Saccharomyces cerevisiae S288C: one gene and its partners. The gene in region 4 interacts genetically with the main gene of each other region. Each region holds a gene or a part of one and is shown on either strand. Other genes may lie near its edges.

What was found.
Region 1: mutations in PMT2 (region 4) and ALG6 together harm fitness more than expected from each alone (negative genetic interaction), as found in Saccharomyces cerevisiae (5 studies listed by BioGRID, with this or other methods).
Region 2: mutations in PMT2 (region 4) and IRE1 together harm fitness more than expected from each alone (negative genetic interaction), as found in Saccharomyces cerevisiae (4 studies listed by BioGRID, with this or other methods).
Region 3: mutations in PMT2 (region 4) and SEC66 together harm fitness more than expected from each alone (negative genetic interaction), as found in Saccharomyces cerevisiae (4 studies listed by BioGRID).

Annotation. Positions count from the first base shown.
Region 1 is NC_001147.6:325,959-333,537, reverse strand, and holds ALG6 (dolichyl-P-Glc:Man(9)GlcNAc(2)-PP-dolichol alpha-1,3-glucosyltransferase), read right to left. Parts: upstream 4,122-7,579; coding exon 2,487-4,121; downstream 1-2,486. Other genes in the region: putative subtilisin-like protease YSP3, read right to left, coding at 647-2,083; exosome nuclease subunit RRP6, read right to left, coding at 4,505-6,706; PHO80 (Pho80p), read right to left, coding at 7,408-7,579. UniProt on the Saccharomyces cerevisiae protein: Dolichyl pyrophosphate Man9GlcNAc2 alpha-1,3-glucosyltransferase that operates in the biosynthetic pathway of dolichol-linked oligosaccharides, the glycan precursors employed in protein asparagine (N)-glycosylation.
Region 2 is NC_001140.6:255,744-265,129, reverse strand, and holds IRE1 (bifunctional endoribonuclease/protein kinase IRE1), read left to right. Parts: upstream 1-3,538; coding exon 3,539-6,886; downstream 6,887-9,386. Other genes in the region: LAM4 (Lam4p), read left to right, coding at 1-2,329; SAE3 (Sae3p), read left to right, coding at 2,577-2,689, 2,776-2,938; YHR078W (uncharacterized protein), read right to left, coding at 7,112-8,770; NMD2 (Nmd2p), read left to right, coding at 9,374-9,379. UniProt on the Saccharomyces cerevisiae protein: Senses unfolded proteins in the lumen of the endoplasmic reticulum via its N-terminal domain which leads to enzyme auto-activation.
Region 3 is NC_001134.8:576,107-580,485, forward strand, and holds SEC66 (Sec63 complex subunit SEC66), read left to right. Parts: upstream 1-2,257; coding exon 2,258-2,878; downstream 2,879-4,379. Other genes in the region: NPL4 (nuclear protein localization protein 4), read right to left, coding at 238-1,980; SMY2 (Smy2p), read right to left, coding at 3,044-4,379. UniProt on the Saccharomyces cerevisiae protein: Acts as a component of the Sec62/63 complex which is involved in SRP-independent post-translational translocation across the endoplasmic reticulum (ER) and functions together with the Sec61 complex and KAR2 in a channel-forming translocon complex.
Region 4 is NC_001133.9:104,256-112,611, forward strand, and holds PMT2 (dolichyl-phosphate-mannose-protein mannosyltransferase PMT2), read right to left. Parts: upstream 4,297-8,356; coding exon 2,017-4,296; downstream 1-2,016. Other genes in the region: mitotic regulator LTE1, read right to left, coding at 1-1,617; nucleoside transmembrane transporter FUN26, read right to left, coding at 4,622-6,175; CCR4-NOT core exoribonuclease subunit CCR4, read right to left, coding at 6,591-8,356.

The DNA of each region.
Region 1 (7,579 bases), on a different chromosome or scaffold from region 4:
CCTTCTTGCTCATCACGATAATTATACTATTGTTTAATTGACATCTTGAAAATTTTTCTTCCCGAAGATCATCGCATCGCACCGCATGTATATTTTTTTTTTTTTCCTTAGTAAATGATAGAAATAATCAAAACAAGAAGATGCCTCTCATACATAGAATACATTATCGAGCCGAGATCACAATTGTAGACATTCAGTTGTAACTTGTACCTATGATCTGAGGTAGTTTTTAAAAGGAAAAACACTGCATTGCTCGGTTGCTTTGGACGGTGACAGAGGAAGATAAAAATAGTTTCACACCCTTTAAAAGATTTCAATGATTCTGACGGTAAACCCTTTTATCTGTTGAAGGATAGTTTTGAAACCTATTTAAAGTGGTTGTCGTATTTTATTTACCTCCTTAACCCTTATCTAGCAGTGACTAGTATAAATTCGTAAAAAAACTATTCACAACCAAAAGAACTGCATCGCGAACAAAAGTTTATCTTTACTACTAATTTATTATGTATATTATTGAAAGAATTTAACCTACTCGTAGGAACAAAAAGCCGATTAGCGATTTCAAACGTCTTTCTTAGGCTTATGCTGACCTGTATGAAAAGAATAAAATAAAATCTCCTGGGTGCTCCTAAATTCAAAATCAAAGCTACCAAAAACCATCCAATTTCTTACCTCCCCCATTATATATTAATTTGTTAGGAGTATCATCACCGATATCACCCAGTACTCCCTGTGTACTAAATTTTAGGACTTTTTCTTTCAATTCTTGAGGTGAGGGAGCGTCGTTGAAAAATTCACTGTCTGGTGCAGGCTGTAATGATAAAAAGTAACTTAAAATACCAGCAACGTGCGGGGACGCCATGGAAGTACCTGATAAACTTAAAGTTGCATTCCTTGAACCAATATAGGTGGACATAATATTTATACCGGGAGCAAACACATCAACACATGTGCCCCAGTTCGAAAAGAATGCTCTATCATCACTAAATGTCGAAGCACCGACCGTAATACTTTTTTCAGCTCCTGCTGGTGAACTGAGACAAGCATCTTCATCCTCATTTCCTGCCGCAATAGCAAAATGGACACCGCTATCTACAGCTGCATTTACAGCCATTTCCATAGCTAGCGATTTGCTACTTCCCAAAGAAAGATTGGCAGTCGATCCTTTGAATTCTTTATTCTTTTTCTTCGACGATTCTATATGCTCCTTAGTAACATACTCTATACCTTTAATAACATCTGAAACCGTCCCTTCCCCATTAGAACGAAGAACTTTGACAGCTACTATTTTTGTATTTTTGGCTACACCAAAGTGCTTCGATCCGATAATCCCCGCACAGTGAGTTCCATGACCATTCAAATCAGAAGCTTCATCGTTTGCTGGTATAACGGCTCCCCACTCAGCACGCCCTTCAAAGTCCTCGTGCTCGGTATCAATTCCTGTGTCGAGTACATATGATGTGACACCTTTTCCGGCGGCATCTTCATATAAATATTCCAAATCTTGTCCATATTTTGGTTTCTCCCTGTGCGAAACTCTATGTAAACCCCAAGGCGCTTCTTCCTGCAATGACGAATTAGATATTTTTACTGTAGTTTCTTGCTCTACGAACTTTATGATTGGGTCCTGGGAGATTATTTTAATGATTTCATCAGTGAAATAGCCAGTATAACCTCGAAATAGACCATTTATGTCAAAAAAATTATCAATACCTCCAAATTGAGATTTAGATGATACTGAAGAAGAAATTACCCTCCAAAAAGCGTCATTTTCTGTAAGCTTACCTACTGAGGTACTATGATCCTTCTGTACCACTTGCATATGCGATTGAATCTGCTGGAGGGAAATATCTTCATTAAAGACTATGACATACCGATAAGGAAGAAACTCTGTTTTATGAGCGACATGTTGATGTTCAGTGTGAAAATTTCCAGGATCATGCTGTCCCAAACCTTCTCCTGCTCTTACACTGCGAGTACCATCAATATTCTCAATAAAACGAACTATCCCGTCGAAATCAGGGATGATCATACAAAGACAGCAATTTGCCCAAAGTATAGGTAAGATGGTAGAGAATTTCATGTTTAAAGATATAAAGTGGTTGAACAGATTGGAAACCTGAACTTACAATATAGCAACTTGATAAGTTACGTGTTATAAGGACTCAGTCAAAAAAAACTCTTATCTAATAATATATATATGAGTGCCTGTTATCAGTAGCCGCCCTTCCGAGATTCGAGATTCGCCATTGCTCGGAAGACGCGAACGGTGGCTACTCCAGGAGAGAAAATAAGCGGAAAAGCTAACAATACTCACTGCCAAATGTAGTAGTTTTGCCTTACCATTATCTGTACCTTATTTAGATCAAATTATAGTGCATTTTTCAAATATTTTTAAGAGTTGAAATAATCTTTACTTGTAGAGCACATCTTTTATATCAGTTGCGTCTGACTGACATTGTACAGTTATATAAGTTAAAATGTAACTACAAGTCCTTCATGGATTTGCTACCGGAAGTGAATATCTTGTAATAAGACCATAGCCAAAATATGCTAAAGCAAATGAACCCAACAGCACAGTTCAACAACACCCACAAGTCTGGATATTTCGATGGAGGTGCTACAAATTGATCTAAGAAATGATAAAAGCCCATAGCAATATACGTTCCTATGATAAAACTTTTCCAAACCACATTATATGGCAGTAAGCTTCTTCTTCTATAGTCGCTATTGATGCTGCTGATAGAAGGGCCAGGAGTTAAAGATTTTGGCAAGAACCTTGGTGTAATAAAACTGAAATTTCCAATCAGCCAATTGCTTAGTAAGAAAGATACGGCATACTGTAAATGAAGACCGTCCTTTTTCAACAAAGGCCATAGCGTAAACAAAGCCACATTGTTTATCCAACTTACAAGAGATAGAACATTCCAATCAGTAGAGGAGTAGAGTAGTGTAATAGGCAAAAGTGGGATGAGGATAGTTTTCTCATGTACTTGAAAGCTAAAAAGAAAAAAGGACATCGAACATGCGATTAACACGTATGGGAGAAGATGCTTTTTGGGATGAAGTAATGTCATTATCATGGCTGGTAAGAAACCAATCACGGTGGCAATCAATGAATATAGCTGGAGTTGTTGTATAGTGAATCTTTCCTTGTATTTTACAAACACGTTCGTAACGCACCAGAAGTTAGCAACCTTGTCTTCGAAGATGCCCCTGGCAAAAGGGAATATCCTGTGAATACATTGGTGAATATTCTTTAATCCTCCTCCCAAGAAATATAATGGCGCAAATATTATAGCAAAAGTTGCGAGTGTTGCAAACGCAATAACCGTCAATCTAGCTATGTTAAATTTGGGGAACAGCAATGATCGACTTAATAGATAAGCAAAAAAAATCGGTGCATAATACAATGCCATTTGTTTAAAACAAATGGATAGGACAAAACAAACGGCCGCCATAGCATAATACTCATCTAATAAGTTATTTATGGCATAAGCAGTAAGGCCAAGCATGACTGAATTATATTGAAAGTGCCCATGGTCAATGAGCATTAATGAAGGTTGGAACAAAATCGCTGATGCCGCAATAGATTGTCCTATGGGCGACTGGTTTCGATATCTACCAAGCCACTTAGTAAAGTATATTACTGCAGGAAAGTAAAACAATATGTCGCTAATGATGACAGTAGAACGCATATATGTTTTCAGGCCATTATCGGGGGATTCAAAGCCACGTGACTTTTCTAGTGCAAACCAAGATGGATTGAAAAAAGATCCAATTAGGCCCAGAAGGTACGAATGAAATGCTGTTAATGGTGGATAGTCCAATCCCCAGTATTGCAAATCATACCAGTACCACTTAGAAAGCGGTAAATGTTGCGTAATTTCCATCCAATGTCTCTGAGCCTCAAAATCGCCGTACAGCGGTGGACTGCCTTTCCCAGAATATGGACCAAGTCCAATTGTGCACCTCAGTATTACAGCACATACAAAGATAATATATTCTGGCAGCCATTGGTTCCCCACTGGCCTAAACGGATACAAAAAATCATACATTGGAGAAGCATAAAATGATTCTTCTGCTGGTTTGTTCACCAGTAACCTTTTGCCAATGGCCATTTTCTATGCGAAGCCTGATGTGAAGAAAAGAATTCCTGACACCGTCCATTCGGAGTGCCATTGCTTTAACATGAGCAAATCCCTTTTCTAACTTGGAAGTATTGTTCTCGCTGAGTATTTAACACGCACAATATTCGAGCGAAGTATAATCCTGCAAAAATTCAACTATAGATTTCCGGATAACCTCCGACGTTGAAATTATATAAAACTTGTACTTTTCATAATAAAGGAGATGAAGGGAAACACAGAAACAAAAAAAGAGAAAATGGTGTGCATGGGGGAGCCATAACTCCATGACACAGATATTCGATTAGATGAATTTAGAGGTCTTAAATGAAAATTACCATAATTTATAAATAAAAAAATACGCTTGTTTTACATAATCACCTTTTAAATGACAGATTCTTACCTTTGGCGGCAGGCCTCCTCTTTTTAGCTGCCCTTGGTCCATTACTATCGCTAGATGATGGGTCGAATCTCCTTTTCTTTTGTTGTCTATTATTTTGGCCAGGCTTATTAGATAAGATATTCGGAATTTTTGAATAATCCACAGCATCTTTTTCCGTTACACCTTTTTCCTTTGCTGGTTGTTTCTTTTGAATGTTTTTCTTCTTTAAAACAACAAGATCATCAAGATTATCAATCTCAGGCGAGTGATTAGGTGCGCTCGCAGGGTCTACTGTCTTAATCTCCTCTAGCTTGACAGGAACAACGAGAGGTTTCTCTATTTCGAATATGATATCCTCCAAGTTTGCTAAGGCAGACTTGAAATTTTGTGCTCGGATCCTGATATCTTCCGTCTTCACTTTATTTGGCAAGCCGTCTTTGCTATATGCAATATCATGCTCCTCACGTGGTAAAATCTTACCCAACAGAATAGAAGAATTAGTGACAGGCTTGGCTCGGCTCTTGGAAATATTGCTGTTGCACAACACCGAAAACCTTTCCATAACATCACGGATTTGAGGAACACTTATAGTCTCCAACAATATTCCGTCTGCTTTGGTCTCGGAAGATGGAATGGGAGTAGCTTCCTCATTGGTGTTCTTGATGTTTCGTAATGCATCTCTTATCAAATTAGCTAATAGTTTTGCATTCTGGCGGACATGTTCAGTTACGCCATTGGTCAAAGAAACAACACCTATGACATCAGTAGGTGTATATGCGACAAGTGCAGCCAATAACTGGTTTGGCATAACAAATCGTGGCGATTCATCGTCTCTTCTTGCAATAAGATCTCTCCATTGGTATAGCTCTCTTACTAATACTTCCCTCTCAGGTGGTATGTTGTACTGATACATCAATATTTTCCAAGGACTCTCTTTTTCGATTGGAGAATAAACTTCTGAAGAAGGTGTCAGTGGTCTGTACTTTGAATATTCAAACCTTCTTTTTGCGACATTTCTTGATTCATAAAGAACACCTGCTAACTTATTAGACTCGATAAGTTTGTTTCTCAACTGGTCATATATATTTAGTAAAAAGTGAGTATCTGCTCTAGCATATGCCGTCATGGGTTTTGAAAGCGGTCTTATACGCCAGTCAGCCAACTGATATTTCTTTGAAGTTTTAAAATTGGCAAAATTCTCCAAAAGATAGGCCAAACTATGTCTAGGAAGACCGATTGCTTTAGACGCATGGTAAGTATCGAAGAGACCAACGACATACAAACCTAAATCTCGCTGAAGCCAAATAATATCCATGAATGCACCGTGAAAAACTTTCACAATTGAAGGGTTCGTAAACACTTCGTTCAGAATATGTAAATTTTCGCGAAGTTTTAGAGTATCAACTAAATAATCCCTTTCCCTTGTACTAATTTGCATGAGGCAAACAATACCATAGTATGACCTATAATCGTGATGCTCAAGATCAACGGCAATCTCTTTCGTATTTTTCAAGTCCTCCAACATTGATTCGAGTTCTGTACTTGTATCTACCCAAATTGGTACCGAATCATCCCAGGATTTTGAGGGAATCTCCTCTCTAATTTGGAGAATTTCTGGACTATACTCTTGATGATCAATCTCATATTCATAAGGATGGGGGTAGTGACTGGGGTTATTTTCATCATCATCAACCAACCTCAAACTCTCAGAGAGTGGCTTCAAAGCATTTGGTTTTTCCTTCAATAAAGGTATGAACGGATGACTTTCGCTGTTATCAATTGGACTTTTAAATTTCAACTGAGGTTTTTCGACTCTTTTGGTGGGAGAAAAATTCTTTCCTGAAAATTCGCCTAAATACTGAAGATCGGAACCTCTTGACTTTGAGTTTATTGCACAATTCAGCTTATCCAGCGAATGGTCTGACATTTCTAACAAATTATCCATGATGTTTCCAAAGTTGTTCCACAAGTCAGAAATGTCCTCTTCTTTAAGTTCAAATGATTCATGATGCTCATCAATAGAGAGGATTATTTCATTCGCCATATCCGCAAGTTTGTCTGCTTTTGATTTCAGATCTTTACTAAATCCCCTGTCTAAATTCTTGTAAAAGTCTACATCTTGACTGGCTAACGATGATGCTGCTCTCACCACATTTATCACCCTAGATAAAAGTACATCCGGATTTTCAGAAGTCATAACGCACTTATTGGGTGCTTATAAGCTGTTTGTTGTTCCTATTTCGTCTATCTTCAGATGAACATTAATATTCATTACTGAAAAATTTTCCGATGCCCTCATATTTTTGGGTAAAATATTATTAATAATATCACGTGAACTTATTTTGCATTTAAAAAAAAGTAAAAACTATTTGCTAAAATATATTTTTTTAATTTTTAAAAATAATGTTTTAATTATTTAATGTATATGACTTCCGAAAAATATATATTTGATAACAAAAATTATTATATGCGATATTGAAATTTCATTGTTCAGTATTTTTCCACTAAAACATGTGAAAGTAATTTTCATTATTGAACATGAAATGGTTCTGTCAAGGAAGTTTTGAAACTAGTATCTGAAAAGAACAGTGATGATATGAATCTACATGTATTTATCAAGTTAATTGAAATGGAGTTCTCAAGCTCATCTCGAAGTGTTTTCTGTCGCTTATGCTCTTATGATGCAAAAAGGCTGAAATAGAACATATCCTTCTTTAGCAAAAGAGGGAAGTTATTCTCTTATATACTACCTGAAATCTTGAACTTTTTAGCCAAATGATGGCCAATTGCTTATTATACACACACAGATATATATATATATATATATATATATGTACAAATGGAAAGTTTTAATTTTGCTCAATCATGATTGCTTTCATAATACCCCACGAAAAATCATTAATCTGGCTTTGATCGCTTGTTATAGATATGTGCGTCCTTTGCCTCAGAATATCGCTTTTGTGAAGAGTGAGAATTGGGTGATGACGACCCCTTTAGTTGAGTAGTTTGGGAGCCACTTTCACTCACTATATCAATATTTGGCGGGAGAACATAATCAACCTTTCTACTC
Region 2 (9,386 bases), on a different chromosome or scaffold from region 4:
TTGTGCTTTGTCAAGAGATATCCTTTTGCAAGGCAGAATGTATATTTCTGATCAACATATTGGATTTTATTCGAACATCCTTGGTTGGGTAAGTACCGTTTTTATACCGTTCAAGACAATCGTTCAAATAGAGAAAAGGGCCACAGCAGGAATATTCCCTAATGGGATCGTTATAGACACTTTACACACAAAATACACGTTTGCCTCTTTCACTTCAAGAGATGCTACATATGATTTAATTACTGAAGTATGGAATCAAATAATTTTGGGAAAGAGGTTTCGTAGCAACAGTAATAACACTAATAGCAGCTCCAATTCTATCAGTGATGATGAAAATGACGATTACGATGATGATTACGATGATTATGGAGATGATGATGACGATCTTTACGATAATAGCAATAACATATCTGATTCTACCGACATGACATCAAGCGTCAGCATAGGAAAGCCGGAAGATTTACCCATGCCTCTACAAACAGACACCCCTTATGGAACAGGAATTCCACCACTAGGTCCAAAAATTCACTCACCCACAGAAACAGTATACAAACCAGCGCCCAATGAAAAATTAGTTAACGAATCAACAATACACGCTTCGTTAGGGCGGGTTGTCAATATATTATTCGGGAAAGATGTCAGTTATATTATGGCCATTTTAAAAGCGCAAAAGAATAGTGATATTTCGCCAATCCCTGTTCTCGTTGATTCACCCACGGTTTCTGAAGGTAAAAAGAGAGATTATTCCTACGTAAAAACAACACCAGGTGCCATTGGACCCGGTAAAACTAAATGCATGATAACTGAAACCATTCAACACTTTAACTTAGAGGAGTATGTTCAAGTCTTGCAAACAACAAAAACTCCGGATGTTCCTTCTGGAAATTCATTTTATGTGAGAACAGTTTATCTTTTATCATGGGCAAACAACAATGAAACAAAACTAAAACTGTATGTCTCTGTTGAATGGACAGGTAAAAGCTTGATCAAAAGTCCTATTGAAAAGGGTACATTTGATGGTGTAACGGATGCAACAAAGATATTGGTGGAGGAGCTTGGTAATATTTTAACAAGATCTGCTACCAAAAGGAAAAGGTCTTCGAAGGAGAACACTGTTACAGTATCAACTTTACCGAAAATGGAACCTAGCTCACATGCACCTACCGAGCCTGATATTCAAAAGGATAAGGATGACTCTATTATAAGGGAAAATGAGAATATACCAGCTCCATTAGGGACCGTGGTCCAATTGCTATTTGGATCGAATACAGAGTATATGCAGAAAGTTATCACTAGAGATAAGAATAATGTCAATGTGGAAACGATACCAAAATTCACGCCTTCGTTGGTTGAAGGAGGTTCAAGACACTATGAGTACACGAAGAAATTGAACAATTCTATCGGACCTAAGCAAACAAAATGTTTACTAACCGAGTCTATTGAACACATGGATATCAATAACTATGTTTTGGTGACACAAACAACTAAAACTCCAGACGTCCCCTCTGGTAGCAATTTTGCAGTAGAAAGTAAAATCTTTCTATTCTGGGGGCAGCATGACACCACGAATATGACCGTTATAACAAAAATCAACTGGACAAGTAAATCATTTTTGAAAGGTGCAATTGAGAAAGGATCTGTTGAGGGTCAGAAGGTTTCTGTCGATTACATGCTATCCGAGTTAAGAGACATTATTAGCAGGGCAAAAAGCAAAAAACCGGTGAAGAAAGTAATGAAGAGTCATGATAAACATAGGCCTTTCCATAGTAAGGTTGAACAGAAAAGTTCCGAAAGCCGTAAGAGCGATGATAATAAAGACATTTTAACTCATATTTTGGATTTCGTTCAGAATAATTTTAGTTCAGAAATTTTTATGAACAAATTGCTGAGTCCTCAAAAACTATTCTTGATCTTGGGGTTGACCATTATGCTTTTCTGGTCTCCTCGGCTTCACGTGTTTCAAGAAAAAAATAATCTTCAAATCATCAAGCCAGGAAGGCTGCTGATTGATGGTCAAGAATATAATTACGTGCCCAGTTTCGGCACACTGTATAACTCATATGAAAACGCCATATCATCTAAGAAGAAGAGAGAAAATGTAAATTACGCAAGGGATAAGAGTCCTATTGTAGGAAGGGAAAGCGATATTTGGGATTGGATCAGTAACAGAGGGAGTGCAATATCACCTCGAGGTCGTGCTATGTTGAGAAACGATGACGAACACAAATTGCAGCAATTATCAGAAAGTATCAAAATAACAGAAATGCAACTAAATCATATGAAAACTATGTTGGACAACATTGAGAGGGACGCAAATGATCTATCTTAATAGCATTTTATATATTCTGTTTGTATTATTTAGTAATTGTATCTAGTACATATCCTGTAGCGGTTGGCCTGATTCCTTTTAAGTTAGATGACAGGCACACTTTGCATTATCACATCAGACGGAATTGTTCTGCCTAATGGCGGCTATTCTATTTCTGCTTCATAAATGCAAAGACAGAGTATAAGAATAATTTTAAATTAAAAGCAATGGTCTTATCCTTGCCATAAACAGAAGACAACTTGCAAGTATGAACTATTTGGAAACACAGTTAAATAAAAAGCAAAAACAGATACAGGAATACGAAAGTATGAATGGCAACCTGATAAAGATGTTTGAGCAATTGTCTAAAGAAAAGAAAAAGTATGTAGCTATTTTTTCCAGTCGGCAAAAATCGGTATAACAAACAAAAAATATTTAGTTTCTGTTATTAACAGAACTTGTCAAAGTGATGAGACACCAAAAAAAATTTCCTCGACGTACATTAAAGAGTTAAAGGAGTACAACGAATTGAGAGATGCCGGTTTAAGGTTGGCCCAAATAATTGCTGATGAAAAGCAATGCAAAATTAAGGATGTTTTTGAAGAGATCGGTTATTCAATGAAGGACTAATGGGCTTTTAGGGACAGTTCTATTCTTCCAACGTGCGAAGCGTTCCAATGAAACTCTGCTGCGCGCTGAAAACTATATAAAAAAAAAAAAAGATAAAATTACAAAGAAGTAATGAACTTAAATGCTATTATACAGTTACTAATTAAGCTGCGTAGTGTGAAATATATTGATAGTTGTAGTTTTGAGGTTTTATTACCCTCTGTTATATAATAGGTTTTCGCTATTTTATTGCCGAAAATCAAGACGGAGCGTAAGCCTCTTCGGGCAATACCTTCGACTATTCCAACAATAAAATTTAAAAAAAGAGATTAATCACATAGTAACAAGAAATAAACGAAAAACATATCATAGGAGATCAATGAGCCAACTTCACATAAACTAACAGTGAAAAGTCTATAACAATATTAATTTTACACAATTAAATCTACACTATAACTGGCACTGTTAATAATCGGTAATCTGCTAAGTAACTTTTTTTTCTCATTCACAAAGCATCGTTTTCCTCTTCCCCACGTCCATTATCACTTTTCTCCATATCACCCTTCATACACATTAAAAAAACAGCATATCTGAGGAATTAATATTTTAGCACTTTGAAAAATGCGTCTACTTCGAAGAAACATGTTAGTATTGACACTGCTCGTTTGTGTGTTTTCATCCATCATTTCATGCTCAATCCCATTGTCGTCTCGCACCTCAAGGCGGCAGATAGTGGAAGATGAAGTTGCCTCCACTAAAAAGCTCAATTTCAACTATGGTGTGGATAAAAATATAAACTCGCCCATTCCTGCTCCAAGAACCACTGAAGGTTTACCAAATATGAAACTCAGCTCATATCCAACTCCTAACTTATTGAATACTGCTGATAATCGACGTGCTAACAAAAAAGGACGTAGGGCTGCCAATTCTATAAGTGTACCCTATTTGGAGAATCGTTCCTTGAACGAACTGAGTTTATCAGATATACTAATCGCAGCCGACGTTGAGGGTGGACTTCATGCTGTAGATAGAAGAAATGGTCATATCATATGGTCAATCGAACCAGAAAATTTTCAACCTCTGATAGAAATACAAGAACCTTCGAGGTTAGAAACATATGAAACGTTGATTATAGAACCTTTCGGTGATGGGAACATTTACTACTTTAACGCCCATCAAGGGTTACAAAAACTGCCTTTATCCATACGACAACTTGTATCAACTTCCCCGCTGCACTTGAAAACAAATATTGTGGTTAATGACTCTGGAAAAATTGTTGAAGATGAAAAGGTCTACACTGGATCGATGAGAACTATAATGTATACTATAAACATGTTGAATGGTGAAATTATATCAGCGTTCGGACCTGGTTCAAAAAACGGGTATTTCGGGAGCCAGAGTGTGGATTGCTCACCTGAGGAGAAGATAAAACTTCAGGAATGTGAAAATATGATTGTAATAGGCAAAACTATTTTTGAGCTGGGAATTCACTCTTATGATGGAGCAAGCTACAATGTCACTTACTCTACATGGCAGCAAAATGTTTTAGATGTTCCCCTAGCGCTTCAGAATACATTTTCAAAGGACGGCATGTGCATAGCGCCTTTCCGTGATAAATCATTGCTAGCAAGCGATTTAGATTTTAGAATTGCTAGATGGGTTTCTCCGACATTCCCCGGAATTATTGTTGGGCTTTTCGATGTGTTTAATGATCTCCGCACCAATGAAAATATACTGGTACCGCATCCCTTTAATCCTGGTGATCATGAAAGTATATCGAGTAACAAAGTTTACTTGGATCAGACTTCGAACCTCTCCTGGTTTGCATTATCTAGTCAGAATTTTCCATCTTTAGTCGAATCAGCTCCCATATCAAGATACGCTTCCAGTGACCGTTGGAGGGTGTCTTCAATTTTTGAAGATGAGACTTTATTCAAGAACGCAATCATGGGTGTTCATCAGATATATAATAATGAATATGATCACCTTTATGAAAACTATGAAAAAACGAATAGTTTGGACACTACGCACAAATATCCACCTCTGATGATTGATTCGTCCGTTGATACAACCGATTTACATCAGAATAACGAGATGAATTCACTAAAGGAATACATGTCACCAGAAGACCTTGAGGCATATAGAAAAAAGATACACGAGCAAATATCGAGAGAATTAGATGAAAAGAACCAAAATTCTTTGCTACTGAAGTTTGGAAGTCTAGTATATCGAATTATAGAGACTGGAGTATTTCTGTTGTTATTTCTCATTTTTTGTGCAATACTACAAAGATTCAAAATTTTGCCGCCACTATATGTATTATTATCCAAAATTGGATTTATGCCTGAAAAGGAAATCCCCATAGTTGAGTCGAAATCGCTAAATTGTCCCTCTTCATCGGAAAATGTAACCAAGCCATTCGATATGAAATCAGGGAAGCAAGTTGTTTTTGAAGGTGCTGTGAACGATGGAAGTCTAAAATCTGAAAAAGATAACGATGATGCTGATGAAGATGATGAAAAATCACTAGATTTAACCACAGAAAAGAAGAAGAGGAAAAGAGGTTCGAGAGGAGGCAAAAAGGGCCGAAAATCACGCATTGCAAATATACCAAACTTTGAGCAATCTTTAAAAAATTTGGTAGTATCCGAAAAAATTTTAGGTTACGGTTCATCAGGAACAGTAGTTTTTCAGGGAAGTTTTCAAGGAAGACCTGTTGCGGTAAAGAGAATGTTAATTGATTTTTGTGACATAGCTTTAATGGAAATAAAACTTTTGACTGAAAGCGATGATCACCCTAACGTCATACGATACTACTGTTCAGAAACAACAGACAGATTTTTGTATATTGCTTTAGAGCTCTGCAATTTGAACCTTCAAGATTTGGTGGAGTCTAAGAATGTATCAGATGAAAACCTGAAATTACAGAAAGAGTATAATCCAATTTCGTTATTGAGACAAATAGCGTCCGGGGTAGCACATTTACATTCTTTAAAGATTATCCATCGAGATTTAAAGCCTCAAAATATTCTCGTTTCTACTTCGAGTAGGTTTACTGCCGATCAGCAAACAGGAGCAGAAAATCTTCGAATTTTGATATCAGACTTTGGTCTTTGCAAAAAACTAGACTCTGGTCAGTCTTCATTTAGAACAAATTTGAATAACCCTTCTGGCACAAGTGGTTGGAGGGCCCCAGAGCTGCTTGAAGAATCAAACAATTTGCAGTGCCAAGTCGAAACGGAACACTCTTCTAGTAGGCATACAGTAGTTTCATCTGATTCTTTTTATGATCCGTTCACCAAGAGGAGGCTAACAAGATCTATTGATATTTTTTCTATGGGATGTGTATTCTATTATATCCTATCCAAAGGGAAGCATCCATTTGGAGATAAATATTCACGTGAAAGCAATATCATAAGAGGAATATTCAGTCTTGATGAAATGAAATGTCTACATGATAGATCCTTAATTGCAGAAGCTACAGATCTGATCTCCCAAATGATTGATCACGATCCGTTAAAAAGACCTACTGCTATGAAAGTTCTAAGGCATCCGTTGTTTTGGCCAAAGTCGAAAAAATTGGAGTTCCTTTTAAAAGTTAGTGATAGGCTTGAAATTGAAAACAGAGACCCTCCAAGTGCCCTGTTAATGAAATTTGACGCCGGTTCTGACTTTGTAATACCCAGTGGAGATTGGACTGTCAAGTTTGATAAAACATTCATGGACAACCTTGAAAGGTACAGAAAATACCATTCATCAAAGTTAATGGATCTATTAAGAGCACTTAGGAATAAATATCATCATTTTATGGATTTACCTGAAGATATAGCAGAACTAATGGGGCCGGTACCCGATGGATTTTACGATTACTTCACCAAGCGTTTTCCAAACCTATTAATAGGTGTTTATATGATTGTCAAGGAAAATTTAAGTGACGATCAAATTTTACGTGAATTTTTGTATTCATAACATGTTCATGCCCCTCTGCTTCTTCTTGGTTGATTATTGCATTAATGTTACTTTGATCATTAGTAGTAACCATCCATAATTTTTACGCCCTTGCATAAATGAAAAAAAGTTGTACTTCTTCATGAACCTATACTACTTTTCTCATCCCTACATAAACTACCCGACAGACATTTAATTTTATAAATACATATCTCATAAACATCGAACATCGACATACTACTCCAGTTATTCAACACTGACTTTTTTGGTGGAAAGCTTTCGTTCTGCAATTCTTATGCAAATAAAGGTAAACACACATGCAAAAGCGTAGACTTCATCAAACCAAGAATCTATGACAATGTTTGGGACGGTAAACTTTCCACCCAATAGCTCCTTTAATCTTTGTGATACTTCAAAAGGGAGATGGGACCTAACCATTAGCGTTGTAGCCAAAACGTAGACGCCAGTCAACTCTGACACCACCAGATTTTTTATCAAAGATATTCCTTTTTGTTCCTGAGAATAGTTTCTCTTTTTTCCCTTATAGGAAGAGTTATTGGTGTACTCTGGAAGTACATTAGCAGTGTCATCATTCTGCATGGCGAAAAGTGCAAGAATCTGGAACTTTATGGGCAAAAGGGTCACAACGTAGGAGATGGTGGTATTGACAGCAGAAAGACAGCAAAGAAAGAGAGAAATTGACAAAAATAACGATATCTGTTTTGTTAACGAATCGAGATCGTGCTGGTAATTGAACCTGAAAAACGAAAAATCCAAAATATTTGCTATCGTAATGGCTAAAGGATCGGATGCTGCATTTTCACTAAAATTTTCATAATCGTAGTCATCTGGATATTTGAGCGAGTGGTATATGATATAGGGGATTCTTTTCAGGAAAGTTATTATTAGTTTATGAAGACAGTATATGATAAACCCGACTTCAAAAGCTTTCTTAAAAGTGCGTACCTGAGGGGACTGTTGTAATAATGCTTCCAATTTCCCAAGCTCCAGTTGATACCAGGCGATTTTTTCCATCAACTCTGCTTTAAAAGTTGAGTTTTCTCCGACCTCTTCTTCTAAACTTCTTAATATTTGTACATTTTGTTCAATGTTGTGTTCATAATCTTGGATTTTTTCCTCTATATAGGCGTCTGTTGTCCATAAGAGAGATTTACTGTTATTGTTGCTGTTGTTGATGTTTCTAAAACTGGGGTCTGACATTGGTGTATTACGAAACTTGTGCCAGATGACTAAAAAGTTGTAGTATAAACTAGAAACAGTGGCTAACCCAGATAGGGAAGCCATGACTGTGACGCCTCCGATGGACAATCTAGTTAGAATATTTTTTGTGTACTGGAACGGTCCAATATTTATGTAACTTAACAGCGCAATAAGTGTGGACAAGATTATGCATGTCACTATTATCAACCTATCGATATCGAACTTGTCATTGTAGAATTTATTCAGTAACGATATTATAATGAAAAAGGGCTGAAATAAAATTAGTATGAAGGATAGCATGATTGCAGTCAGAGGCCACACCCAAGTCGTTATGAAAGTAACTTCCTTGTCCATTCCAGCAACCTTAATCTGCCATAGAATAATCTCTATGGTTACTGTATACGTCATCATTGCTAATGAAAAAAGGACTCGCAGTGATTGCAGTACCTTATGTGAGGGTAAAGAATACTCTGTGTAGAATTTATTTATGAAATTACCCATACTAGACACATCCTCATTCGAGCCAACTTCCATTTTGCTTGCCAACGGAATGACATTTTTCTTCGAGGAAGTTGATATAATGTCAAACAAAGACCCTACTTTAAACCAGAGCCTTTCATAGGAGCATTTGTAAGCAAATGCTCCGGATACGGAAAGCACTATAAATACGATAAGTGCCTCCATCCCGTCCACCACTTAGTCTACACTCAATAGTCCTTTCTAGTGCAGGTCCTGGAGGCAACCGCCAGAGTTGAGATCTTTTCCTTTTCTTTCCCTGCTGGTCAATTTTTATTGTTCAGGACTCGGTCATCGCAGATATCGCAATTTTTCACTCGTTTGAGTCTAGACTGTAAAATAAAACCGAATGGTTAAGCTAAAATAGACTCTGTATGACTAAGTCGTTCACTAAAGTTCATTATTTCATGCCTGAATGACCTTTATCTTAATTATGCACCATCATATAGCGTTTCTATGATCACTACGGGATATTATGATATTGTTAGGGGGTTATATTGAATATTTCTTAGGGCATGAGGATGATATTAGGGTTATTAATAGGTTTACAATTATATAATTTATGTGATAATTATCACTTGATACGAATTGATGGAGCCTGCTTCTTTTTTTTTTTTTCACTTTCTTGGCAGTCACTGAAAAACTGCATTCGAATACAGGTTTGAGAAACTAATGAGGCCCATATTACTTTACAATGAACAGTAACAATCAACTTAAATGCTTAAATAATCTAATATTGTATCTGCATTGATAATACATTGGACAGAAATTATGGACGTATGTT
Region 3 (4,379 bases), on a different chromosome or scaffold from region 4:
AACGGCAAAGTCCTTTGGTTTATATCAAGAGTACCTTAATATATACCAATTTGTAAAAGCGACTCCCAGTTATTGTTCCTTAAAACTCCTCGTATGATGTGATTTTTGGTAAGGGGACGTTCTAGAAACGTCTACTATTTTGGATGATTTACATAGTTTTAAAATAAAAAAGGCTCAATTTTACCTTCCGCGCATTTCTATTTTTTTAATCTAAAACCTCAAATCTTACAGTCTCTCCTAGCCGCTTTCCTGAAGGATCATGACTAACGTTTGCCAACCAGCCGATGAGACAAGTTTTAGTAGAGATTCTTCCCATTCATTTTTCACAGCAGATTCTATTAGTAACTTCCATTCGTCTGGAGAGAGTATCTGCAGAGAATTTATGTATAATAGTAAATGAAAGTTCGAGATTTTTTCATGCAAAAGATTGAAATCTCCACTTGAAGCCACATTGAATAAATACTTTTTTAATTCTTGATAATCTTGAGATTGCCCCATAGCTTGTCGATTGCTCCATGGAAATCCGGTGGAACTAACGAATTTCGAGTTGGTTTCCGTATCGGTATTCGGGAACCCATGAGTCAGCGTCACTAAAAGATAGTCTACCGGAAATGCAGGCTTCGCATTTTCCTTCACTGTTATACCATATTCATTCGACTTCATGTAAAATATCTCAGGTACATATCTTTCATCTGTAGTGTCATTAATATATGCCATTGAAGGAAATGTGGACCCACTTATCATATCTGCAGTAACCAATGCTTCAGCTTCTGTGGATACTTGGTAGCTCGAAATATCAATTTCACCTTCCAAATTACCTGATATAACGCAAGTTACAAACTTGGAAGAAAAAAAACCTTGTTCGCTATACTTGCTTACATTAGGATGCCTTGTTTGATGCCTAGCAGCCATAATAACTTCTAATGATGAAAGAAAAAACGAATCCTTATGTCTTTTGCAAAAAACAGACCCATCCCCAGCTCCCGCGTCAGATAAATCTGTAAATATTAGGCCAATTCGCGAAAGCCCCATTTCTTGAGCCTGTCTATCAATCTGTAGCATTTCATTCTTGACCTGTTCTACGTCCATGGTTAAACCGTCTTGCTCATCATGCTGAGGGGGCTCGTATATCGCCTCAACGACGGCCTTTATACCTAAAGGTGTGTTATCATACTTAGAATAAGATCCGTACATATAGCCAAATCTTTGCATACCCGTGTACCTCCACGCCTGAATAAATTCATTAATTATTTCACTCTTCTGAAATTCAACGTGGTCAACCATTCTAAATTCTTGCTGTTGTAATGTAATTGCCGATGGTTGACATTTAGAACATATCCCCCGAGGCCATGGTTCATGGCCATTATGGCAACGCTTATTGATTCTAAAATCAGGTTCTGAAAGAGGGGAAATATAAGAGCTGCCGTTCTCCTTCTTATTAGCATTTTCATTTAGCTTTTTAAGATATGAATGAAACGATATATGTTTGATCTTATTCTTCTCATGATATTCTTTGTCCCAAGGAGGTAAAGGCGAGCAGTATTCACACATACCTCTATCACCGTGCTTGCATAGTTTTGATTTTTGACGAGGAATTAATCCGTCCTCTTTCTCTAGTTCCTCATCTACAGCGAGTTCTTTGATCCTTAGTGGACCGTACCTGTGTTGACGAATTCCCTTGCTGTCAATACCTACGGATCCGATTTCAACATTGACACCATCTTTCTCATTAGCGGGCTTGTCCGAATAGTTAAGGATCAGCATGTCACCGTGCTTTAGTCCTAGATCCATCACTGTTCGATCAGCTAGTTCAGAAACAGCATGAATACCTTGACCGGGCTTCTCACAAACAGTAAATGTGTCGACATCGGCATTGGGGTCCAGATTACCCACCAACTTTTCAATGACCGTTCCGAAAAGGTCGTTTTCTTGACAAGAAACCCTGTGTGTACCGTTTTTTGATCTAAATCTGATAAGCATACTTCACTTAAATGTATATCGATATCAGTAGTATAGGGAAATTTTTCTTCAGAGTACTGTCCTATTATTTGCCACTCTTCGTTCTGTATGTTACGAGGGCGTTCCTTAAAATGGGTAGACGCATCTTATTACCCGCCAAAAAACGTCAAAAGTTTTAGGAACACGTCTAAAAGTTGAAATAATATGTGAAAAAATTGATGAAATATTAATGAAATGGCTTATTTAAACGAATTCAAGTACAGGAAAGAGGTACGCACAACTACTTGAGTTTGCCAATATGTCCGAATTTAATGAAACAAAATTCTCCAACAACGGGACGTTTTTTGAAACGGAAGAGCCAATTGTGGAGACGAAATCAATCTCCGTTTATACCCCACTCATATATGTCTTTATTCTGGTGGTGTCCCTTGTGATGTTTGCTTCAAGCTACAGAAAGAAGCAGGCCAAAAAAATTAGTGAGCAACCATCCATATTTGACGAAAACGATGCCCATGATCTGTATTTCCAAATAAAGGAAATGAGTGAAAATGAAAAAATTCACGAGAAGGTGTTGAAGGCCGCTTTATTGAACAGAGGAGCAGAATCTGTTAGACGATCATTAAAGTTAAAAGAGTTGGCTCCTCAGATAAACCTTCTATATAAAAATGGCTCTATTGGGGAGGATTACTGGAAGAGATTTGAAACTGAAGTTAAATTAATTGAATTGGAATTTAAAGATACTTTACAAGAAGCTGAAAGATTGCAACCGGGCTGGGTTCAATTGTTCGTTATGGTTTGTAAAGAAATTTGCTTTAATCAAGCTCTCTCTAGACGTTATCAATCAATCTTGAAACGGAAAGAAGTGTGTATTAAAGAGTGGGAGCTGAAAATAAATAATGATGGAAGATTAGTCAATTAGTGCCTACTGTGTGCAAAGATATGTATTCGCTCGTTCAGTGTTTTTTTAAAAATATGTATAGAATTTGTCATTATCTGCGTTAAAAAATAGTTATAAAGTATATACAATAACAATAAATGATAAAGAAATATGCAGTGAAAAGAAAAAATTATGAAGCTTTTCCTTTCAGTGTTTTCTACCCTTCTTCTTGCTCACTACTTGGAATTCCCAGCCGTCGTCATCATTGCCTGATAGAGCTAGCGCTTCATTCCAACTTAGTGGATCATCACCTTGTTTTTCGCACGCAACACGTCTTTTAATAAATTCAGTGGCAAATCTTCTACCATCCATAACGTCACTATTGGCATAAATTGTTTCTTGAATCAATTCTTTAGATTCTGGCCCCGTAGGTAAACTCAATAATAGTTCTAAGACATTGTTATTGGTTATTCCAGAATTTAATTTCATCTGTGATTTACACCATTTGATAAATTCTTGCCGGGGAGAAACATTGTTCATGCTAGCAAAGGTAGTGGTAGTAGAAGTTGTGCTAGTTTTTGCCGTTAATGAAGAATTTAAACTGGTATTGGTTTTTGAATATGGGGAGACAACGGTTCCTATAGGTGCTTTCCCTTTAGAAGTCACCGTAGTCCAAGAAGATGTGGTAGTAGATGCAGAGGATGTGGACTTTACTTGTTTGGAAGAACTCTGAACCTTTTCCCATAGTTTTTTCTGCTCTTCTATGAAATTTGGATCTTCCAACTCCTTTAACGGAGACGACTCTTTCATCCCTTTTGGGCTTTTTTGAAACTGAGATTTAATATCAATAGTTTGATTCGATGGTAGGCTGGACTTGTTAGCCCAGTTAAGCACGGATTTTAGTTCCTCCTTTTGCTTTTCTTCTTTGCTGTTCCTCTGTTGTAGACCTAAGGGTTCTCCTTTCTTCTTTCCAGTGCTACTTACACCATTTTTAATTGAAGTTTCGATTGCATTGTTAACTTTGACTTTTGAGGCCCATGGTGCCGGATTCGCGCTTGAGGAATTTAATGAAGGCAAATCTTTTGATGTCTTAAAGCCTTCTGTTTGTGTTTGTGTGTCCTTTTTTGTCTTTTCTGATTTTTTTTGCTTTTCTGCTTCCAAAGCTTCTTTTTCCTTTTGTTCCTTTTGTTCCTTTTGTTTCTTCAATAAATCATCCTCTTTTTGCTTTTGTTTCTTCGATAAGCGAGCTTCTTCCTTCCTTTTGAGTTCTCTGTTCCGTTTCTCTTGTTCATCCAATAACGCTTTTGCTACAGATTCGGATTTTTCCTTCTTCCCTTTTTCCAGCATAGTGGTCGATTTGTATTCTTGCTTGTGAGATTCATCTGTTTGACTAATGGTGGTTGCTGAGGCTAATTTAATATCGACTCCCTTGGAGGTGGTACCTCCATCCATATCCCAGATATTGTCATGTGTCAATGGCTTGAAAATATCGTTTTCAGTAGCTTTAATAGTGCCAGTAGCGGCAACACCGCTTGCGTAAGGA
Region 4 (8,356 bases):
ATTGTTCTGCAGTTGCTTGTTTAAAGTATTAGTTAAAGAGATGACTGACTGAGCAATTGAACTTACGGTTTGATACAGATCCAAATTGTCCATAGCGCTAAAATTATCATTACTCGGTTTAAAGCTATTTTGTTGTAAAATCTTTATATCATGTATGTGTTCCCGACGTTCACAATCAACATTAACTGTAGGACCTCGGTTGTTATTCGAATGTGTTTGAACTTTTTCTATCAGCTGGTTTTGTAAATGCAGTAGGGACTCCACTTCATCTATGGTTCTTGCACTTAGGATGTCAAATTTAGAAGAATCAGAGTTAAGAAACTCTTCCTCTTCTTCCTTGGAAGATTTTCTATTGAGAGATGATATTGATACAACGTATTTGACAAACGCATCCATTTCAGGTTTCTGGTTTGCTGGTTTAATAGCACTCATAAATTTTTTATCATTACTGCTATCATGGCGATTATGGTTTTTCATCCACTTAGCTAAAAGACCAATAGCGCTGCGATGTAACACAGACATTGAAGATGTATTAGATCTACTATTACTGTTGCTATTGTTATCTAGAGATGATGTCGTCGATGTACCTTGAAGCGTTCCGCTTTGTTCATTTAAATCTTCAGGAATATATAAGGAATTCAGAATAAATTCAACTTTTTTAGCCGGTGTTGGAGGCATTATTTTATCGACTGCATATGATGACGGGTAGTCTACGCCTTTCATTAGTGTGGATACTAGAGTGACTTTTGACAAGTGGCTGATCTTTTGTTTACTATCTGACATGTCCTCGCTTTCATTATCAACTGAAGGTTCTTTCGCTATTCGGTGCTTCGAGTAAACATTTGATGTATTATCGGGAAATAAAAGCATAGAAGGGCTTCTCTGGTTTTTGGAAGAATTTGAAGACTGTAGCTTCTCCGGCAGTCTAAATACATCAGAAGTTTTATATAATGATAAAACGCTTTGGTTACGAAAATCAGGACTGGCAAAACTTTGCCTGGCGTAAATGCTCAGTCGGCTTCCTCTTTTGTGTAGGCTTTCTAGTTGCGTGAAATCCTTTAACGAATAATGCAGCCATGCATCAAAGTCTAATTTATCAGGTTCATTTAGTTCAATATTCTCCCAAACCAACTTAGAACAATGCACCCAGTTTTTTTTCAGATTGATTATACAGCTGGAAATTATTTTTGGGTACTGTTCAATGTGTTTGTCGTTTAGAAACTCGATCAACCGAAGTCTTAATGTTATGTTCGGTAAAAAATCTTGCACAAAATAATTCAGTATGGAATGCCTCAACAACACAAACGTCCTCACGAGGGCAACTTCACCAATTCGCCTTCTCTTAGCTTTTGCAGCATTTGTTGTGATCTCCCTAATACACCATCGAAATCTATAGATGAGTAAGTCGTGTAAGTCTTGAGGCGTTATAAAATTCCTATAAATAAGGAAAAAATCTGCAGATGCGTTGTAGTCTACACCTTCCAAAGGGGAAGAAAGGTGTACAATTAACGCGGGCAGGTCTGCACTATTCACTGGTTTGGATACACAATCGCTTTCATAGCTAATAACATTTGAGGATGGAGTCGGGTAGTAATCTTTCTGGCTAAATATTTCCATGGTTCAGGGTAGCGAATCTTTGAATGGCTAGAGGCTATGTAAAGCAAACAAAAAGGTTCGCGTAAATCAACGAGCGAATAACACGAGTACGGTTGGGGTGGGCTAAAGGGTTCAAGAAATTATCAGTTTCTGTTTACAGTTTTTTTTTCATTGTTGATAAAAAGATCAAGAATTTCATTATTCGCGAAAATCAAAATGCAGAAAGGAAAAAATAGAAGGGTAATAAAACAGCATCGGATCGCAAAGATGAGTAAGGAGAACAGCCTGGTTAACAATTAAAGAGTGTTTATCGAAATTCATTATATAGTGGTTTATATAGACCACTTCTTCTGCTGGTTGATATAGAAATTTTATTTAATTCTTGTTTTTTACTTATGTACTTACTACGATGATCTTAATTCATGCTTCTTGCTTGTCGGCAATGTCCCAAGTGGAAAACCAGTTTAAGTAGCGGAAGTTACTACTTGGTCCCTCCATACCAAATGATATTGGGGAGAAGTACCAGAAGCAACCAATTACAAGTGCCATGAATCCGGCGTATAGGACGAACCGCATGATACGGCCGCACTTAGATCTGGACCATTTTTGCAAACCGGCGTCGAAACAGTACGCCAAAATGATCAGTGCAAAATACAAGGCAGGCAAGTAATGATGAACGTAGGTGACTCTAGACATGATAACGAATGGCATGTAGTGTAGGCCCCAAGCTAGTAGTGGGTAGAACCCGCCCATTAAGAAAACGTTCCAGTTAGATGGATTTCTTAGGTCCACATATTGTCTTTGCCATCTGATCAGTAAGATAACGACCGTGGCCATGAATGCGAGGACGGCAACACTAGAAGCCCACGTGGAAGCTGGGGTACCCAATAGGAAGTATTTTGGATTATCATCACCCCAGCCACATAGTCTCAAACCCACATTCAAAGTTGGCCATTGCCATGCTGAGGAAGCTAAGTAATCAAATTTGTCTGGATCTGGCACCAAAGCGTTATTAGTGGCCATCATGGCTAGATTTAAATGAATGAAGTCTTTTAAGAAGTTGGTCTTTGGGTATTGAAAATCTTCGGGTCTTGGTGGCAACCTTTCATTTTCGTGGGTCTCGATGTTCCACCAGGTCCTCTTGTCCCTCTTGAATGGGTTTTTCATGCAGACAACCTCTTGTTGTCTGAAACCCCATTCGGGCAAACTGTTACCGGTTTGAGCCAAGTAACAGCCCATCTCCAAGTTCTTGATACGGAAAGAGGTGGTCAATGTGTGCAACTTCTCAGGGTCTTCATCTCCTCTTTGGTCCATGATCTCAATAACCCAATTGTCTTTGTTGTCACCAACAACATTGTCACCGTAACCAGAAACCTCCCATTGTGTCTTTGACACTGGTGCAGCAACTGGGTGGGTGTGCAAGTTTCTGCCCGTGCTTTTGTGTACCAATCTATAGGAGGTACCTGGCTTCAAATACTCGATGTCAGTTTCGTTTTCTGACCATGATGGTAAGCCTCTTTCTCTGTTGAAAAACCATTCGTTGTTAGCATCTTTGTAACCATAACAGGTTACTTGTTGTTGGTTGGACCCATCTGGATAAGTTTGTATATGTGAGTGCAATAGAGATCCTCCAAGAGCTTGGTTTTTGATGGAAACAACGGAGGAACCTAGAGCAATGTCACGGGGGCCTTGTCCGACGTCAGAACCCACTAATCTTGCTTGGAAAAGAGATGGCATGTTAGCATCACCTGTACCAGAATGCGATAATAGGTCAAAATGTATTTTGAAGCACAATAGGAAAATGCAGAAGGGGACGATAATAAGACCAAATATTCTTGCCAACCAGTGGTTAATATAGGTTTTCCATGACATGGATTTATCTGCCAAAAAGGTCCATAAGTCAATCACAGTATAGATACCGACCATAGTGATGATAAATAGACCCACCATTTTGACGGAAATAGTGCAACCCAAAGAAATACCAGTGATCAACAGCCATTTCCACCACTTTCTAGAGAACGGCTTGGACCTCTGGTTGTGGAACATAACAAAACTAAAGAACGATGCGACAGTGAAGAAAAGTAGCATGGAGTCCAAAAGAATGAACCTGCCCAAAGTACTATACGAGTTTTCAAACAAAACCAACACGGTCATCAGCCAAACTGTTGGTAAAGAAAATCCAATAGCTTTGGCAGTGAAGTAGGCCAATGGCACACAGAGCGCGGAAAATGACGCGTTGAACAGTCTCATTTTAACATAATCCAAATAGTCTGGGTAAATTTCCCCAGAAGGGAAGTCCCAAGAACCGTTGTAGCCTGCCAAATAACCAGACAACCCGACCAGCATTTTTCCTAGGGGAGGATGGACATCGTGGTAAAATTCGTGTCTCAAGTAATAAGAACCAAATTTACCAAAGTGCGCCTCATCCCAAACAACATGGTTGTTGATGCCGATTTTGTACATCCTGGTAAACAACGCCAATGCAGTAAAGATCACCGGCATTACAACGGATTCCAGGCGTAACAGTGAGCTTTGTGCAGCGGGCTTTTCCTTCGAGAAATCTTCCGCGTCTCTCTCATCAGCGCTCGAAAGTTCCTCACTGACGCTGATGGAAGACGATTCTCTTTGTCTCAGTGTATTCTCTTGCTTAATGTGGGCGGCATTGTTTTTGCTGTACCCGGTAGACGAAGACGAGGACATGATTGCTGGACCACGGTTCGAAACAGAATGACAGTAGCGATGTGGACTAAGCCGGTTCTCCTTGGTAATGTTGTTAGTCTCGAGAAATGACCTTTTTTTTACCCTCAAAAAGAATGCAACACTATTAATAAACAGTACACGAAACGGATCTTTCCGTAAGTTCTTTCGTTCTTTTTTTTCGTATTCTTTTCTTATGTTTTTTTTTTTCAGGGCGACGTGTCCAATAATATGTATGTTTGTCGCTATGTACGAGATATTATTGCTAAGTGACAGTAAATCGTATCACGACTGTAAATGATGGCGTTTCGGTATGTACAGTATCTATCTACCTGATAATAAAGTCAATTATGAAGACGAATACGTAGCTTATGATGCTGCCCAGAGCTAGTCCTGTAGAAACGAAAATATTAGTGAATCCACCGGCCGCTTCCTTCTCGTCGTCGTTGTCCAGTTGCTCTGGCACCTTCATGAAACTCATAGAGATGACGTGCCCGTTGGTTACGCCGAAAAGGAACTGCAGTAGCATGTAACACAAGTCAACGATTACGGAGCCATTGTGCTCTTCATCGCCGCTTGAAGAGGAGGTGATGGCTGTGAACATCAAGAACAGTGGTATTGCGGCCACCCGCAACAATGAGTAGATGAAGGTTTTGCGTGGCGTAAATTTCTGGTCACGGAACATGGGCCAGTCGGCAATGACTCTTCCGTAAAGGTCGCCTAGGTTCCACAGCGTGAATATGAGAGGTATGTACTGTGCGTTGCTTAAAGGAAGCCCTGTCACGTAGGTGGCAGACGCAAATACAGGAAAAACAAGAGTTACGACAAACGTGGTGAATATGGAAAGAACCAGGTACTTTAGTTTGGCAAATAAGACCTCGAAAGGCACTTTTAGTTGGAGTTCCTCACCTTCGTCGTTGTCGTCGCGAGTGCCGTTGGTGCGGCGGTGGTCTTCATCCTCCATTTGGTCAATGCGGCCAACAATACGGATTTCCTCCTCATTGGAGCGCAGAGACCCTAACAACACATCAGTGATATGTCCGTCTTCCACATTCCAATTCTCGTTCACTTTCCGACTGATTTTGCTCACGCTGAACATGACCACACAAATGGTGACCACGAGTGTTGTGGTAAAAAAGTATAGAAGAATCCCGCCCGTAGTAGACACAGAAGAGTTCTCGATGAAAGCTAGGGCAAAAAGCACTAGGGAGGGCAGGACACCAGCAACGGCTTGCCCCACCATGACACCTTGACTGTACTCGGAACCGAAGACGTTGGCTATGGCCATGATACCATTCTGTGTCATGGCTGTCCCCATGGAACTGATCACTACAAGCATCATTATAAACATGAAATTGAACCATTTAGGTAAAAGGAAATGCAAAATTGTAAAGAAGCACATGACAGTAAAGACAATAATCTCCCACACAAGCCCGTTTATGACCCTTCTCGAGTATTTGTACTGTCTTTTGGCCAAGTAGATGTTGAACAGCATTGACGATATGGTAGAAAAGGACATCATAGAGCTTGTGAAGATCTTTGCCCAAATGGAGGTGTCTTTGAAAATATCGTGCTTAAAATATTGCGAGGCACTGAGGATACAGTTCCACGGCCATAAAAGACCTATTCCTATGGCGAAAAATGTAATATATGAAAGATTTTTCAACTTTTTTCTTAACGGCAATGTATCCAGTGGTTCGGTTGACACAGATTGCTCTCTTTCAGAATAATTATCGCCTTCTTCATCTGAGTGCTCGTTGTTCTCTGATTCATGTTCTTCTCCAGAGCGTGATATCTCCTCTGAATGCGTATCGGCCAGTGCAGGCTCTGGCACCGCAAGGATTGGCTTCTTGATGGTATCAGTGTCCGCACTAGTACTCATTTTTGCAATCTGGTATGCTTTCTTGCGTTTGATGATAAGCTGTCGCCGTAACGTAAATCATTCATCCTTTCCTATGATTTTTTAAGTCAATTTTTTTTTCTTTTTCGGGAAATTAATTCTGTTTTTGGCATTAATAACAACAAGAAGAATTAAGGATTCGTTATAGAATACAAGATTCTTGGTTTGGTTAAATAATTTTGGCTCTCTTAAATATTATAAAAAGATACTTAAGTAAGAAAGAAACAGGACGAAAAAGATACGCAAAAGAGAGAGAGAGAGAGAGAGAAAAAAAAGATGAGAAAAAAAAGTATAACGTGAAGGCTTTATGGGAAGTGCGGTGAGATTGGGATCGTTTCAATTTTATAATGAGGTAGTGTACAGAGAGGAGGGAGGGAGTGGGATGAAAGTGTGCGGTTTATACTTTCTTACTGCCTGTGTTTGTCTTCATAAATTCAAATCTTGCTAACAATGGTATATGGTCACTGGGGAATTTGTCGTTGGGGAACCCGATAAACTTACTCACGTATTCAGGGTCCACTTCACCCAATAGCCCACGCACCCTTAGAGCATGTGTAGAAAACCATATATAGTCGATAACATCTGTGAATGACGGTGTGAAATTGGTGAATGGTAGTTCTCCGATACAATTATAACTTGATTTGAGAGCCAAGTTATGTGAGAAATTTTTCTCCGACATGTAACCGAAATCTCTACCATTTCCCTCTTGATGTATTTGGACACGGCCTGTATTTATCAATTCGTATACGGCGGAGTTGATGTATGAATTGAAGTCACCACAAATGAGCACAGGAAATTTCTTAATGTCCTGTCTAAAATTGTGCGATGTCTCCTCCTTTAGCAGCGTTTCCAGATGATCTAACAGGACACCTACTTGGAATGTCTTGACATCATTAAATTTTGGATCCCAGTGCAAATGCGTGGTGACCGCCCATATGGTGTCGCCACTAGGAATGTGTTGTAGCTTTAAGAACAGTGCAACGTTGTCTTTGTTCATTGCACGGTTTAAATAATCTTCAGTTCTTTGGAACTTCTTGTGTTTCATCCAAGCACCGCTGAAATCCATGGCGTCTTTGGTGATCAACTTGAATTGGTCCCTTTTGAAAAAAATGCAACACCCGTCCACTTTCTTGGAGTCCTTGGAATGCATGGTCTTGGCTCTTGCCTTTGCATGGAAGATGCCTGTATAACCGTGCTTGTCCAATAGGGGCACCCAATACTCTTCAAAAGTCTTAGACTCCACTTCTTGTAAACACAACAGATCACTGTCGTACGAGAGAATCTGCTCCTTTAATTTATTGCGCCTGTAATCCCAACTTAACGCCCACGACGGTGTGTAACGGTACATTTTTGGGGTGGCATAGTGTTGACATAAGGTGTTGTAGGATAAGACGGTGAACGTCCTCTTGGCTAAATCGGTGGCCAGATGCTCAGTGGATTGCTGCAAAGAATCGTACTCCCTCTGTGGTTCCCCATCGGTATTGATTTCGATGAACCTACGTTCATGCGGTAAGGGAATCTCTGGTCTGTTGTCCCTTAGGTAGAAAATCAATCCCGTGACAGATTTTTCTGTAAGGATCTTTAAAAACTGTTTTTCTAAGGGGTTTCCTTCTACACCAAGAAACTGAAGGTTACACAGGTTCCCAAACTCCCATGGTAATGTGGTGACCATGTTATCAAAAAAGTAGAAGTATTTCAATTGGAAACATGAGCCTAGTTCCGCTGGTAGAGATGTTAACCTATTATGCGACAGGTCCAAAACGCGTAGGTTGCTTAGGTTCTTGATCTCCGCTGGCAGTTCCGTGAGGCTATTGCCATTCAAATATAGTCTCGTTAGAAAATCGTACTTGAAGATGTTGGCGCTGATATTGAAGATTTGCAAGTTGGACAAATCTAGCGCGTGCCATAATTGGTCGTCGTATTTCGAGTCCTTGGGCATGACCATTCTGTTTTCAATGTCGTCATCTTCGTCGATGCTGTACTGAGACAGTTTCTTGTGTTGTAAGAGCGCCTGGTTGGCTTCGTCCTTGCCATTAGCAAACAGCTCTATCTTGGGAGTCAATGGTGTAGAAACTGCACTGTTAGTTGCCGTGCCTGAGGGAGTGCTATCTCCCGTAGGTTGTTGTTTCTTTGCTGTCTTGCTGTCGGTGAGAGTGTCGGCCA